2 linked regions of the Drosophila melanogaster genome follow. Changing the gene in region 1 together with any one later gene gives a genetic interaction. Each region holds a gene or a part of one and is shown in the gene's direction. Other genes may lie near its edges.

Region 1 (5,016 bases):
AATTTTTCGCATAAAATAAAATCATTTTTGTTTGTGTCATTATAAAATTTATTCGTTTTTTTCACGATCATGAAGATGGTTTTACAAATTAGTATGTAAATATTATATTATCTTAAACCTATTTTAAAAAGAAATACATAAAAATAAATTTGGAATTAATTTCCATAAATCGAAGTCGTCAATTGTAACTCTCCTGCATTAGGTCACAAACATTACACAAAACGAGCATTAGCACCTCATTTGAATGGATTCCATTAGGGCTTGTGTATTTGTGTATGACGCACTTAACTAATGGCCCGGCGTTTAAAGCCCCATAAAAAGGCCCAAAGGACAGCTGAACAACCTGGTAGTGACCATGTCTAAGACAAATGGCGGACTGTCCGTTTATAATTGACCGCAGGCGGTTAGAGACACGGCCAAGTGGTTGGGGCTACACATTATCGTTGTGGTCGTCGTTCAAGTAGAATGGACAATTATTATTAACTGCAATAAATTTCACGCACGCACAATTTACATAGACTGGGAAAAACGAGGAGCAGTCAATTTTGTTAACTGTGATAACATATAGTGACTTTCGTCACTACGTAGACATGCTGTTCGTTAAATACAGTTGAATAATGAATATATATTATTTTATACAAGATTGATAAAAAATAAATTTAATTTCTTCGAGTGCCGAGAAGTACTCAAGCGTATCGCAGGACACGATCTATAAAGGACACAGGACACGGACATTCGGTCAGGACACGTACAACTCATTTAAGTGCAACATAATTGTGTGTGTCCAAGTTTCGGGAAGCTCCCACCTGAAGACTGCGCTTCCCCGAGGGATGGGACAATGGATCCAGGGGGGGTGGGGGTGGTATAATTGCCACCGGGAGCACATGTCAATGGCAATTACCGGCAGTGAGTTCAAGTGGAGTTCTGAAAGAATGCCGGACCGCTGACCACCACCCCCATACTAAATAAATCGATAGTTGTGGCCGTTGTGTTGCCATTAGCGTGTTGTTTAATTGAATTGTAGCAATTAAAGAGCTTCAATTGGTTTTAATCGGAAATTGTTCTCATTGTTCGAGCACAATGGTAAAAGTCGAGCTGTCGCACACACACACACATGCTCGTTGATAGTCGCAGATTGAGATAGATGTGTGCACACACACACACATATACGTAAATAGTCGTCATTCACATAAGCCCGCCTCATTAACGCTGACATTCAGAACTGGCAGAAAGGAAATGTGCAATAAATGCGACTAAGCCTGTGGAAATCACCAGCAACAAGAGCAACAACAACAACAACAACAACAACAATAATAGCAACAGAAGCGGAGTGGTGCGGAAAAGCACCACACAAGCCACGGTAATCACAGGGGGTTAATCGCAGTTGGGGGTTAAGCCAACAATGGGAGTTCAACTAACGCTCATCTGGGGAAAAGTCAAGTGTTCGGCGGCAGTCAAATTCGCAGTCTCATAAGGGATTTTCGAGTTTCTGTCATTGAACTGCATAAGTGAAGGTTAAAATCCATCAACATAGTACTTAAATAATACAGTAAAAACTATTGGAACTCAAATTAATCATGAAACATAGTAAAATCTTTTATTATTACATAAAAAAAGAAAATTCCTGATGGTTATTAAATTATAAGTAATAGTAGTAATGTTAAATGCTCTTATGTTTATATTTATATGTATGTTTATATTGACGCTTAAAAACTATATTTTAATGAAATCTAAATTGACATAAAAATAGAAGATATTAGTCAGATTATTAAATAAACTATCACTCTCTTTATAATTTAATGTTAGTCCTAGCTGTTAACAGAACAGTAAAAGTTAACATAAAACTTAACATCAACCTAGTGGCACTAAAAAATATCCTCGGGCAACACCAGTTAGCTGGGAGCTCAACAGGCTGTTTCTTTCTTTTTTCTCCGCCTTCAACAACAGTTGGACGATAAGAATTTCCCCAACACGGAAATTTCTTTACTCTCTCTGCCAAAGGATGGTTAATATTCTCCCGCATTTCCGCACTCTCTCTCTCACTCTCAATTTCTGCAGTGCTTCACCGTTGTTCTCTCTCCCATGGGCCATGTTTTCATTGCCTGCCGCAACATTTGCTCAGTCCGCGACGAACTCTCAACGCGGGCGGTTGTGTAGAATCTGTGGCAAGTTCTTGCTCCATTCGCACCCATATCGAATTTATTGAGCTTGCTGCGCGCCAAAAGTCCAAAAAGTGAAGAAAACGCAGAGCGTACAAAGTTGGAGAAACCAAAAATAAATATGTGAATGCCGCGAGTGTGTGTGTGCGTTTATTTTTAAGCGACGGCCCCCGAAGGCAAATGTGAAGTGTAAGCGGCAAACAAAATACAAAAAAAAAGCAAAAAAGATAAGTAAAGAGCGAGAAATATAAATTATATCAAAACAAAAATAGCCGCCAGAAGGCAAGCGAATTAGCACGCAACATTTGACGAAATGGGAGCGACACCGAAAACAGACTTTCCGGCTCACTGGCTGCTGTGTATCCTTCTGGCTCTCGGCTCCTTATCCTCGAAAGCGAATGCCGTTAGTGCTTATGGCGCCTCCTTCATTTCGAACCCATCCATATATGCATACAGTGTCGAAAATCAGCCGGATGAACGCGAGTCCAGGGACAACAACATCAAGTTTGCCGCTGAGCACGGCAATCTGAATTCCAATTCCAATCTGAATCGTAATTACTACTACACCGATGATCCCAGTCCCGTTTCCAATCTGAATCCGACTGCCTCGCTGGCCACGCCTCCCGCCACCCAGCCCGCCCCGCAGACGGGCTGCACCCTGGACCGCCTGGCCGTCTACAAGGTCGTCTTGCACACCTACTGGACCCGGGAGCTCTTCCCCAAGCACTATCCCGACTGGCGACCCACCGCCCAGTGGACCAAGACATTAGGTGAGTACTCCATATGACACCATTATAATTGTTTTTAAATTTTGGTTTTACTTAAGACTATTAACCAAACAAATAAATGCAAGTTGGTCTAGGCTTGTGTATCTAGAAACCATAAACTTGTGATCATAAACTTTGATAATAAAATAATGATTTTTAAAGAAATATAGCACTGATTTAAGAGCGCAAGCTTTTTAGGTTTATAAACATAAATTGAAACGTATTTAATGCTTTAATATTTGTACGCTTTAATTTGCGCCTAATTGGAATTCCAGCAGAATTGCAGCATCAATTTTCGTACAAATATTTTGCGATTTTCCAATTTTTTTAAATTCGTTCAAACAAGCAAATCCAAACCAATTGGGCCCAATGCCCCAGCCAAAATGGGTCAAACATTGTGTGTCTCCCACTCCAGTGATTACTCAATCGTTGAGATGGGGATAAGGATCTCATAATTTGTGCCAGCACAGCAGCCAGGCACCAAATGCCCACAGACTAATTTGTCACAATGCCTTACCTCTCACCTCTCTCCCAATTTGTCAGACATGCATATGTACACACGGATATGTATGGGCATCTACATACGTAAGGAAAATAAATCGAAAAGCAATTTCGCAGCAAGTTGGCTAAACATTTTCGGTTCGTTTTGGTATTTTGGGTTAAATCAGTGGGGTCTTTGGTTTGGTTTGGAAAATGCCTTTGGCCGCATTGGCGTGTCGCTTGTCTTATCAATGTTTTTGCAGATTTAGCTGTCGATTTATAGCACACAGGCACACACACTCGCTCACTCGCTCACACACTCCCACACTCACATTGGTAGCTTGCAGGATATTCAGACGACCCAGTGAGACAAGTAAATCTGACAGCTAAACAACCAAAGCCTGGCCCACATGCAGGGCCAAATAAAAAAGGATAAGCAGGAAGCGGAAAAGAAATGCGATTTGTACGTGCTTATGCGCGATGTGCTGGTCTCAGCGCAAAACGAGAAATTGGATAAAGTTGTTCAATATAAATAAGAGGGAAAGGACCTGCCATCACATAGCTCATTCTTATCCGGGAATTCGAATTTTTGATGTTTTGATTTTAAAGCTTATCGTGAAGAATGGTCGCTCTATATTTTTCTCTCTCATATGAGTAATTAAATGGGCATTACGAGCTATACATCTCTGGGCCATAAACTTCATTCTTTCCCTTGTTGTTTATAGTGTCGTCTGGCTTATTTATAGTTTTTCCTCTTGCGGCAGGCAGTGTGCCACAGTGCGTATGCGTGATTTATGTGAGCACTGCACTTGTGCTTATACTTGCATAAAATATAGCGAAAAGGACTAGTGCCCGTACTTTATCGTAAACTACACTATAGTTTTGCTATTCAGTCGAGTGTTTTTGCTGCTTAACACTTAAAATGCAGTAGAGTGTGCGTTTATTTTGGAGAATTTCTTCAGGTTTCCCCTTAAGAATGCTTGATATAGTGTGAATTATTATTTTAGAAACTTTTTTCTGTATGGGATAAACACAAAAGAAAAATAATCGTTGTTAAGATAGCAACTATGAAATATTCGAAGTACTTGGTATCCATAGAGTTAATTTGTTTTTGCCTTAAAACAAGCTTATCAACTACCAAAATATACATGACACATTTCGCAGAACACTAGGCATTTCACATTAAATATGAACTAATGCCCCCGGACACAATATCCTTCTCGGAATTCTGGAATTCCTGCTACTCCTGTCACTGGCGTCTCAACTTGTTTCCCCTGATAGCCGTTTAGTCCTGGCCAGCGGCACATGCGAAGCTGGTCTGATACTGTTCCCTTAGTCCGAGAACGAGTCCTGGCCGAATCCGGAATGCCATTTGGCATTAAAATTCAAGCAGCAGAGCGGGGCAAAAGGATAGCAACAGAACAAAAAAAAAAACAAAAAAAAGTAAGGAAAAAGCTTAGCAATGCACTTCGACTTGGGGCGGTGGAAAATCGTAGTCGAAGTGGGTGGGCTGGAGGGGCAATGGCTTCCTGCCTGTCATATCCTGTTTATATATAATTTTCAGTGCGCAACTCTAACATCCGTTACATTTCAACTGGTTGGAGGCGGCA
Region 2 (5,016 bases), on another chromosome or scaffold:
ATCCAGAAAACTGAGCATTCCAATTGGACAAGAGCGGAAAACTACACGCACACTAACGCACACAGGGCGGAAAAACAACAACACCATCGCCATGGACGATTTGGGTAAGTAAGTGGTGGTCCACTTTTCCTCGGGGAAAAGCGACTTCCTCAAGCGGAGCATTCCACAGCATAAACCGTGTGACGTAGGCAAAAGCCGCAAAGATAATTCTGCGACTTCAAGGTCAGTCGCTAATTGGAGTTAATTAACATGTAGCTGAGGATTCTGCCGTTGGCCGCCAGGTGGCGACACAGGAAGTCGAAAATCTCACGCTTGAATAATTTTCGTTTACAGTGAAGAGTGGCTAAAACGTACCTCACGTGTTGAATGGCAACGTGTGTTCTGTGTATCTTTTTAGTTATTAATCTGTTATTCACTTCTGTTTTAAGAAATTGTTATTATGTAAAAAAGTTTTGAGTGATCTTCAGTCATTGACCGAACAAGATGTGTTATTTGTTTAATATATTTCCCAATATACAAAAATATTTATTATTGAATATTTCTTGAAACTCAATATTTACTGTTTTTCGAAATTCTTATCGTAAGCATACAATCATTAATCACGATTAAAAATGGTTGTGTTACGTGCTTTAAAATTCTTGATGATGAATTTCAAGTGCTCGTCTTATCTTTGAACCCGTTCATATGTACATGGGTCCATACATACATATGTACATACATACATACTTATGTACATACATACATATGTGCAAAGTGCACAAGTAAATGAATGAGCTTTTAATTCGGGAAGTGGCTATTGCGATAGCTGTGGTCCGATTCGCGCATTCCTTGCACTTTTATGAATAATCCTAATTCCTTGAATCGAACATAAAAGCATCGCGCTCAGCACTTCCAGTGTGAAATCATTTACAATTCTAGAAAGCAAGGAGGGTGTGGTTTCTTGCAGCCCCAAGTTCGAAACCCTTGTACTCATGTGAATGATCTGGTCTGAGAGAGGCAGCTTAATCAGCCGGGCTGTATTTGCTTTCTTCGCTGCCCCACAGTGCTCTTTTAGTCTCCATCAGCGAAATAAAAGTCTACATGTCGTCTCACTTTATTTTCTTTATGACACAATTCTTCGCTGTTTCGGAATGTCTTTTGATAAAAATATAAAAGTGAAGCAAAACGAAATCTGCAGCCGAGAGTTGTGTGTCCAGAAATTCTTAAGAAATGACTAAAGGCCAGGCCACTAACACTTATGAAGAATTCCAGCTGACTTGCCCTACACCTACGCACAGTGGTCTAAGAGCCCGCTAAAATTTGCTTATCGGCTGGGCTTGTAGGATTCTAGATCTTAAGAAACTTTCATATAGAGCTTTTGCAAAATCATGTTAAATAACAAATAATATTTCAGATCACTTTTTAGATTACAATAATATAATAATAACTATAATACTGAAATTCGTTCGAGATCTTAAAATCTCAGCATAAATATTCTGCCCTCGAAGCTTTACTTCGCACAGGAAGTAGAGGCTTCAGCTTCATCTCCAACTTCATCTTGATCTTCTCCAGCAACTCAGTTGCATCAATCTTGCTTTGCTGCCATTAGTGAGTGCGCGCCCACTTCATCGCCCACTCGACACGCAATGTCTTCTGTTCGTGTTGCGTGTGCGCACTGTAACAGCAAAGACGAGATGATCTGTCGAGATCGGTTAGGTCTGTCTGGGCATTGAGCGTCGATGGCGTTTTCCGCCGAGGGGAGCACTCCAACTGCAGAGCAATGATCGCTTATGGTTACGGGGAAAGGTTCGCACAGTGGGACGAAAGGTTAAAGAGTTTTTGAGATCCCATTTCTGCCTTTTCTGTGATCGTATCAATGTATATCACAGTGTTCATGGTCATGAAAGTATATAATTAGTTATCTTCTATGTTTGTCGATAAACAATTGTAAAGCCTAAGCAGCTGTTAAGTGATAAGCATTTCCAACATGACTGTCCCAGAGGAATTTTGTTTATACCAATTTTCACTGTCATTTTATGAAACATTTAATCTTGCGGATTGTCTGTACAATTGAAGATAGTTTCAGAAATGTTTTGATATTGGATGCCTTTGACTCACGTTTTCGTTTATTCGTCAGCAACGAAGGGGTTGGTTTTCTTGGCAGCTGGCCCACTGTTCACACACCCAAAGGAAAGCTCCAATCGGGCGACAATATTTTCGTCCGCTCTGGTTTCCTTTCGCTGTGCCTCCCACTTGCGGTCGAAATGCTCAGCCGCAGGCCGCAAGCCAAAATGAAAAGCCACTCCAAGTGAAAAGCTACGTGGTGGGGCTCTTTCTCTCTTTTAACTGGCTCTCTTGGCACTGAAAATAAAATACGACAATATGGACTCTGATTTAAAATACATTTTTTTTAAATTCGATTTTTCAAAATTAGTTTACTACTTGTTTACTAGTTTATTAGTTGTTTACTCAGAAACAACAATAATCATAATACTGGTTTCACAAGCTGTAACCGCTGATACATACTTTTTAAACATTCCTTTAGATATATATTACTTTAGATATAGCCCCTATTACGAAGCTAAGCTATCGTTTTGAATATACTATGCCTATCCATACATCCATACATCTATAAATCTAAGAAGATTTTTTCGCAGTGCAGTTTGTTTACCAGCTCTCAAACGCTTCGCTCTCTTGCTCCCCCGCTCTCCGTGAGCAGCTGCGAGAGAGCCGGAGCGCTCGTCTATTGGAGCCTCAGCATCGGGCCCCCCTTTGGATTTCAGTCGATTGCGACGCTTTTACTGAATCGCGAGCGCAGCGCGTGTGTTTTTCGGAGTCTCTCGATTGCGGTCTCCCAACGGCGTCCTACGATCTCTGGGATTAATATATAGAATATGTGACAACACACTGCCAAAGGTGCAGGCAAAAGTGCACAGATAACGCGATAGAATATACATATAAGAAACCAAGCCTAATCAAAACAAAAGGCAACGAAAAAGTGTTTAACGGCAAACTACGGCGGGAAAAAGTTGATGAAAATCAGTGGAATCGTGTTAGTGGCAGGTTGGAGCGTGGGAAATTGTTTACTTCGAGTGCAAGAACAGTTTGCAGTAAAAAAAAAAGTTGACAAACATCAAAAGATATCTAGCACTAAGATAAACGATAAAGCAGGAATGCCAGAAGCAGTTAGCTAAAAAAAATAATATAATATAATAAACTGGCCAAGATTTATGGATCCGTGTCACTCGCCTTAAGATTCCACTAACTCTTGGCAAATCTTTTCGGCGCGTTGCTCGCAAAACATTTCAATTTCATTAGCATTTCCACTAATTATGGAACTAATTATCAACGGACAAGACATTCGAATATATGACATATTTGCCCAGATCTGGCAGAGCATAGAATTTTGGTTAGCCCCATTAATTTTCGCCTCGGGGCCCCGAACGGATTAAGATCGTGGGTGTGTTGAGATGGAAATTAATTCGGTATTTCTGTGTTTTTCTGGAGGGAAATGACCGAAATAGCCAAACAAACATAACAACAGGCAGCAAAAGCAATTAAATTGTGCCCACTTAATCTATTAAAATTATGACATTTTTCACATATTTCAAGCAATCGAAGCCAAGTGCATTCTCACGAGTGGTGGTGGTAGTGCGATGGGGGGGGGGGGGACTTCCTTCCCCTTCCCCTCGTAAAAGTATCTCGAGTTACGACAGCAGATGGAAATGCTGGAGAATGATGTAAACTCGGCTGACATAGTGCGCACAAATGAATATTTTGTTGTTGGGGGGTTCTGCACTTACGAGAATCGCTTTCGTTTTCTCCCCAATATTTTGTATCTCGCAGATACGTTCAGTGGATGCCATTTGTTTACGACCAGACAGCTGCTGTCTTTGTCTCTCCGATTGTCTGTGCGTTTTGAAACCTCTAACTAAGTATCTACAGATCACTCTGGATCTCTGGATTATTTGGGTTTAAAAGCTCGTTTTAAGCCCCAACTACTTAGCACCTCTGGATTCTCCATCATCGTAATTCATAGTGCAGTGAGTTCATCGCCAGGTTTGAGTTCGATTTTCGTTTGCTCAGCGAGTTGCTCTGTGTTTTGTTGTTGTTGTTCCTTGTTTCTGTTCTTTCAACTGGAAACAAGATTCTTATCGCCCAGCCATACAAATTCAATTAGAGTGTGTTGTTTCGATTGCTAGCGAAAGATGAGTGGCTTCGATAGATTTCGAAATCGTTAATTGTTAGCAGCGAGTTGATGTGCAATTAAAACATTGGGTTAGATTCATTGCTCACAAATATTTTGAAATAAATAAGTGCAATACTATTGAATTGTTTGCAATCGACAAATATAACCAATTAAGCTTCCATTGAGCCAATCAAAAGACATTGATATTTAATTCCAGAAAAGCCTTTTATCTGCTCAGTACGTAGGCCATTGGCCAATATAGGGTCTATATATCTTATCAAGACCCCAAAGGCCCCAAAAGTCAGTGGGCGATAGCTCGTCGCTTTTTCCCGAACCTATTACAGAAGTGGAATGTGAAAAGCACGCACAGTTTACAGCGGCATAAATTGGCCAAGTTTATTGAAAGGCCCGGCTAAAGGCCACTGAGCGGTGAAGAGAGATCGGTATCACCCACACAAATGAATTTCCCTGGGCTGATACCCACTTTTCCGTTTGGCCACGCATTGCGTTTTCACCTTAGCGCCTTCGGCAAGGTCAACACTCGCATTCACACACATTTTATCTACTTACTAATAAAATATTTATATTGAGATCGCTAGGAATTTCCTGCAAAATAAACACGAAATTGTGCCTTTGACTTTTGAATTTGACTTCGTAGAAGGAAGACCGAATCGAGAACAACAATTTCGGCCCGACGTCATTCCCAAATGGACTGAGTAATGCCTCAGGTGTGGAGGTAAATGGATTTGGACTTGACTATAGCCAAGACCTGGAAGGAAAGTGAGATTTTTATTTTCTTATTGCCCTTCCTTTTGGCAACGATCTGCGGAAATCTCTCGTATTTTCAA

Evidence for each region. Genes that interact genetically often act in the same process or in processes that back each other up.
Region 2: of mspo (region 1) and Pax, changing one suppresses a phenotype caused by changing the other (phenotypic suppression), as found in Drosophila melanogaster (one study listed by BioGRID).

The regions. Positions count from the first base shown.
Region 1 is NT_033778.4:14,710,725-14,715,740, reverse strand, and holds the start of mspo (M-spondin), read left to right. Parts: upstream 1-2,118; 5' UTR 2,119-2,472; coding exon 2,473-2,929; intron 2,930-5,016.
Region 2 is NT_033779.5:19,421,294-19,426,309, reverse strand, and holds the start of Pax (paxillin), read left to right. Parts: upstream 1-2,757; 5' UTR 2,758-2,895; exon of another isoform or gene 2,896-3,031; intron 3,032-5,016.